Linked DNA regions of Nothobranchius furzeri. Each later gene encodes a partner of the first gene's protein in a complex. Links are inferred from orthologs where the notes say so. Each region holds a gene or a part of one and is shown in the gene's direction. Other genes may lie near its edges.

The links. The genes of interacting proteins can lie anywhere in the genome.
Region 2: gtf2h5 (region 1) and polr2b share a complex: the UniProt entries of both Homo sapiens proteins name them as parts of the TBP-based Pol II pre-initiation complex. The link is inferred for Nothobranchius furzeri from reciprocal best matches to the Homo sapiens genes GTF2H5 and POLR2B.

The regions. Positions count from the first base shown.
Region 1 is NC_091742.1:2,693,552-2,696,446, reverse strand, and holds gtf2h5 (general transcription factor IIH subunit 5), read left to right. Parts: upstream 1-1,441; 5' UTR 1,442-1,581; intron 1,582-1,772; 5' UTR 1,773-1,797; coding exon 1,798-1,832; intron 1,833-1,930; coding exon 1,931-2,111; 3' UTR 2,112-2,246; downstream 2,247-2,895. Other genes in the region: protein SERAC1, read left to right, coding at 1-138, 253-389. UniProt on the Homo sapiens protein: Component of the general transcription and DNA repair factor IIH (TFIIH) core complex, which is involved in general and transcription-coupled nucleotide excision repair (NER) of damaged DNA and, when complexed to CAK, in RNA transcription by RNA polymerase II.
Region 2 is NC_091741.1:64,309,152-64,312,552, forward strand, and holds part of polr2b (DNA-directed RNA polymerase II subunit RPB2), read left to right. Parts: coding exon 1-27; intron 28-306; coding exon 307-493; intron 494-635; coding exon 636-779; intron 780-862; coding exon 863-1,002; intron 1,003-1,089; coding exon 1,090-1,201; intron 1,202-1,695; coding exon 1,696-1,850; intron 1,851-1,923; coding exon 1,924-2,122; intron 2,123-2,443; coding exon 2,444-2,612; intron 2,613-2,920; coding exon 2,921-3,017; intron 3,018-3,099; coding exon 3,100-3,194; intron 3,195-3,327; coding exon 3,328-3,401. UniProt on the Homo sapiens protein: Catalytic core component of RNA polymerase II (Pol II), a DNA-dependent RNA polymerase which synthesizes mRNA precursors and many functional non-coding RNAs using the four ribonucleoside triphosphates as substrates.

The DNA.
Region 1 (2,895 bases):
CAGCTCTGCGTAACCTGAATGAGGGTTTTCTGAAAATTGCCAAAGAAAATGAAATCAAAGTGCTGAGCTTTGCAGAGACGTTGCCCACAAATATTGGTCCTATGATTAAGATATTTGTGGTCCCAACTCAGTCAGCAGGTATGTAAGATACAGTGGGGAAAAGTCAATGAGCTATACTTTTGATAAAATAATAAAAATCTGTCATCCAGTTTCTTACCTTCTCTTTTTGAGTAATCTCTCGTTTTGTTCCAGATCTGGGCATCGGAGAGCTCATTCAGGTGGATGTGGATCACCTGAACATCTGCAAACCAGAGAAGAAGGACTCGTTTCTCTACAGACGCAGCCTCCAGTTCATCCAGGAAGCACTCCAGAGATACACAAGCCAATAAAAGACATACAAGCACATCAGTAGTGACATTAAATTGTTTACTTGAAGTTTGAGGAACACTGAGTCCTTCCACCAACAAACTCAAAACCCCAAACCTCTTTTTGTACACGTTTACAACCATAATGTGAGATGTTAACAATCATAATGCAGACACATTTATTTCACACACTTACTAACTGTGATAGATAAACCCGAACCTCTGATTTGTTATCTTTTTACATTTTCCTCCCTTATGTTTTCATTTTTACCGGTCAAAGTCATGTTTCGAGTAAACTCATATTATGAGAAGTACCACCATCTTTCCATTTTAGACCTTGCAGCCACAACAAATATATATTTACTTAAAGATGCATTTTTAAAAACTGCTTCTATGTAGTTTTGATCAGAGTAATGGTTGAAATGTTATTTTTGTATTCATTCATTCTACTGAAACGTGTTGTTTTTTGTGCCAAATGGATTATTTGCCAAGCCTTTTTTAAAATGGCCCTGATTTAATATATTAGGTCAACTCTATTAATTTTATTACATTAATTATGCATCACAATGGGCCAACATATACTAGAAATGAGAATAAATCAAATGAATGAGTACATTTGTTGAGTTTGACTTGTCTATGCATTCATTAAATGATGTATTAAAATACTGAATACAACAGAATTGTTAAATGGAAATCGTTTGGTGTTTATTTTCTAACTTAATCTGACAAAAAGTAATTTAACAAGCATCCATTGCAAAATAGTTAAAAACAAATGTACATGTGCAATACTCACACACACATGCATACGTACGCATGTATACATATGTATGTATGCATGTACATACACGTACACGTTTGTTCAGAAATCTTGCATTATAGATCACTTGGTGGAATTGGGCTGGGAGTAAAGCACAGGAGCGTCAAATATTTTTAATAACAATTTTTCAAAAATCACAGTGAAATCGTTATAATATAAGCAGATAATTACGTGAAATGTACCAGATAGCGTGGAAGAACATGTTAAACGGAAGTGGCAAAAATGCGCATCCTTCAATGCTATAGTGGTAGAGGAAGATTGTCCCTGGTTGCTCGCCGTAGATCTTACCTCAATGCTACGGAACTTAGCTTAAAAAGCAGCTGCTGTTGGGTCTGAACGAGTAGTTTTACACGATTTCTTACCAACTTTAGTGTTCTCCCGAACATTGTGGTTGTTGTGGTAAGTTTTAATTAGAACGTTTTGCTTAAAAGTGTTGCAAAATACGTTGTTAGCTTGTTATTTTTAGCTTGTTTACTATTTCTCATGAATTTTCTCTGTACATTAACTGTCCGGTATGAATATGTGTTGTATATGCATACAGTATTTATGTTACTGTCGCAACATTTTTGCACGTTTTGTTTATTTTGCAGACTTTAATCAACTACACCTGTCATCATGGTGAATGTTCACAAGGGTGTTCTTGTTGAATGGTAAGGAACTTCAGAGTGAAGAAAACTGTAAAATTACTTTCTTCTGTAGAAAACTCCTACAATTATAATGTCTTTTTCCTCTCCATGTTCTGTTTCAGTGATCCTGCTATGAAACAGTTTCTCCTCTACCTAGATGAAACCATGGCTTTAGGAAAGAAGTTCATCATCAAGGATCTTGACGACACACACGTTTTTATCCTGGCAGAGGTGGTCCAGACTCTTCAGGAGAGAGTTGGGGAGTTAATGGACCAGAATTCATTCCCCATCACGCAAAAATAACCCTCAGATCTTTGACTTTCCTCTCATGGACTACTCAATTTGTTGTTGTTTGCTTTTGCTTAATAAAATGAGACATGTAAATGTTTTGGTTTGATAAAAGTGGAAGTGATCAATTGGATAAAAAGTTTCTATTTTTGTGGAGTTCTTTTTCACTTGTAGATGGGGAACAAAAATAATCTATTAAAAGTACTTGTTAATTCACACCATAATTTAACCAAATCAGATTTTTCATTTAATCTAGTTCCGATAGAAAAATAGAAAATCCCTTTATCCACAGTGGAGAAATTTGGGTTAAAGGAATATATGTACATATCTAGAATGGCATGCCAGCCTAGCAATTACATTCATGGCAGGAGCAAAATGAGAAAAATATGATAAACAAAACCTCACAGTTACCTAAGGCATTTGAAGAGGTACATTACAACAGAGTAATTATTGTGAGAAAATAATTCAATTGTTGTTTTTATGATATCAGGGATTCAATTAGTGCTTTCAGATAGAAACCAGAGAAGAAATTGACATTTCTCACAAATCTCATAACGTTAATGAAATACTGAGATAATGAGTTTTCCCTGTTTAAAATGTTTTGCCACCTTCAGTTTGTTCTATTGATGAATGAAATGACAGAGATACAGTTATAATTGTGAAAAGTCTAACACTAGACAGTGTCCCTAATGTTATGTTAGGTGGACAGAAACTGCAAATGTACTTTTAACATGTCTGAGGATAGAAATTTTATAAACGAGCAAATTCTACATCCGAGCATTTCAGTAATGTAACACAG
Region 2 (3,401 bases), on another chromosome or scaffold:
ACCGCTTTTGGCTTTCCTGTTCAGGGGGTGGGTCCACACACACGCTGGATGAGAAACTAGACATCAGTTTCTAATTAAAAAAAAATTCATAATTTCCTGTCTGTTTCAAACTAAAAGCTTCCAGTCCTTCAGCTGATACAAGGCTATAATTGTGAAACAACTTCTTTTAGTTTGCATTTAAAATGATAAAAAAATGAGAAACGGGCTTAATCAGCTGAGGGAATCGCTTTCTATGTTTTCACTTTTTAGGTAGGATTTTGTTTTGATTGGACAGTTTTAAGCTAAACTCTGAATTCTTCTGTTCAGGATGTTTAAGAACCTTCTAAAGGAGATCAGGATTTATGCTCAGAAGTTCATCGATAGAGGAAAAGACTTCAACCTGGAGCTCGCCATCAAGACTCGTATCATCTCAGATGGACTCAAGTACTCGCTGGCCACAGGAAACTGGGGCGACGTTAAGAAGGCTCACCAGGCTCGAGCTGGAGTGTCTCAGGTTAGAATACCTGTCTCACCTGAGACAGATGCTTGGCTCCATGCCAGCTGTTTGGTTTTGTAGATCCAAGATGTTTGTTGTGGAATCAGCTCTCCCTCGAGTTCTCTAAGTCTAACTGGGTTCCTCTAACCTGAAATCAAAGGTGTTGAACCGTCTCACCTTCGCCTCCACATTGTCACATCTTCGTCGAGTCAACTCTCCCATCGGCAGAGATGGAAAACTGGCAAAGCCTCGACAGCTGCACAACACTCTGTGGGGCATGGTGTGTCCAGCTGAAACTCCTGAGGTAAAATCCACACCAGGTCAGAGTCTTATGTTTCGTTATGGTCTTGGTGATAAATATCATAATTACCTTTCCACCGCCTGCAGGGTCATGCTGTGGGTCTGGTGAAGAACCTGGCCCTGATGGCCTACATCTCTGTGGGCTCGCAGCCGTCACCCATCCTGGAGTTTCTGGAGGAGTGGAGCATGGAGAACCTGGAGGAGATCTCCCCTGCTGCCATCGCTGAGTTGGTTCCCTTGCTTGAATCTGAGCGATTTTATTCACGTCAATAATCGCTCAAACTCCATTCATGTTTGTGTTTCCTGTTCTTCAGTGCCACTAAAATCTTTGTGAACGGCTGCTGGGTCGGAATCCACAAAGACCCCGAGCAGCTGATGAACACGCTGAGGAAGCTCCGCCGACAAATGGACATCATTGTGTCTGAGGTGTGGACAGTTACATTCACATTAGTTCTGACCGGAAAGGCTGCTTTAGGAACATCTGCATGCTAGGAGCTGAAACATAAACAGCTGGATTTACCAGACTGAGACTTCAGACTTTCTGAAGACCGAGACCATTCACAATGTAGGGACATTATTCGATTTTAGTTGTCCATTTTCTAGATTTAAAGATTTCAGTCAAACAGGAGAAAAGTTGCATTGAGGTTTATTTTTTGGTTCAGACGTAATTCTGGAACACTTTTGATCCCAGAGGGAATTCCGACATCCAGACAGGAGACATTATGTAAATGAACCAAAAACACATTAGTTTGAGTTTCTGCTAAAGTAAAATGGGAAATATGACATTTGGACGTAATTATGATTATTATTATTAATAATAAACATAACTGAAGGCTTAAAGTCGTAAACAGTCTGATATCAGTCTGCTCACCAAGTGATGATCACTCTCATCTGCTTCTGGGTGGTTCTGATCCTTCCAGGTATCAATGATCAGAGACATTCGAGAACGTGAGATCAGGATTTACACGGATGCCGGGAGGATTTGCAGACCGCTGCTGATTGTAGAGAAGCAGAAACTTCTGCTGAAGAGACGACACATCGACCAGCTGAAGGAGAGAGAATATAACAACTACAGGTGAGGGGTGGCTGACGGGTGTGCAGACTGGCGTTCGTGCACTTTCTTGAACATTGTTTGTTTTGCTGATCAGCTGGCAGGACCTGGTGGCGAGTGGTGTAGTGGAATACATTGACACGCTGGAGGAGGAAACTGTCATGCTCGCCATGACCCCCGATGACCTTCAGGAAAAAGGCGTGGCCTATTGTTCGACGTACACCCACTGTGAAATCCATCCATCTATGATCCTCGGAGTGTGTGCCTCCATCATCCCGTTCCCGGATCACAACCAGGTTCCAACAAAACATCGTTTGATTCTGGCTGCAAAATGAAATGATCAGGTTGATGATCTTAAAGAGGAAAGCTTCGTTGAATCAGATCTAGCGAAGCAGCATGGCCAACACTTTCTGACATAATAGATAAAGGTTCTCTGGTGGAGGATGCCCCGAAATCGCTGCCTCTGTTTTAATTTCTGCAGCAAACCTAAGAGGACAGCTGTGTGTTTGATAAGTTAAGGTTACAGAGCCCAGATCAGAGTTTAGCAGCACAGAAAATGGCCTGATGAGGTTGATGTGTCTTGCACAGACTAAACAAGATGTCTGGTTTCTGTTCAGTCCCCCAGGAACACGTACCAATCTGCTATGGGCAAACAGGCCATGGGCGTCTACATCACCAACTTCCATGTGAGAATGGACACGCTGGCTCACGTGTTGTACTACCCTCAGAAACCACTGGTCACCACTCGATCCATGGAGTACCTGCGCTTCAGAGAACTGCCAGCAGGTAACCCGGGTGTTTCCAGTCATGGCTGTTCCCATCAGACAAACACCCAACTGTTGAGACATCTATTTAAACTTATTCTGGACTCTTTAGCTACTTTTAAGCTCTGGAGAACAATAAATCAGCAAACGAAACCATTAGTTTAGTTGTAGATTCATCCAAGACACAGTGTCACTTGAGAAACTTCTTTAGTTTTAACTGAAAGTGCCGGGTTTTTACAGTTGATTAGATTTGATGGTTAGTTTGTAGGTCATAGCAGAAGTTTTGTCCTCGCTGACAGCTCTTCTCTGATGGTGTTTTTCTGTTTCTAGGGATCAATTCAATAGTTGCCATTGCTTCATATACCGGGTACAACCAGGAGGACTCTGTGATCATGAACAGGTCGGCTGTAGACCGAGGGTTCTTCAGGTGAGTTCCAGGAACACGTAGCAGTTTCTTCTGAGCTGAGTGTTTGTGTTGCTTCTTTACGTCATGCTTTGTTTCCACGTAGGTCTGTTTTTTATCGATCCTACAAAGAGCAGGAGTCTAAGAAAGGTTTTGATCAGGAAGAGATCTTTGAGAAGCCGACTCGTGAAACCTGTCAGGGTGAGAAGTGATTCTGGACTCATAACCCAACAGCTCTGGAGTCTGGCGGGACATTTTACTCTAGAACCAGGTTCAGGCTTTAGTGTCTGCCATGAGAGCCACTCTAAAGCTACGACACTTAATGCGTCCTCAGGTATGAGACACGCCATCTATGACAAGCTGGACGACGACGGTCTCATTGCTCCTGGTGTTCGTGTGTCCGGAGAG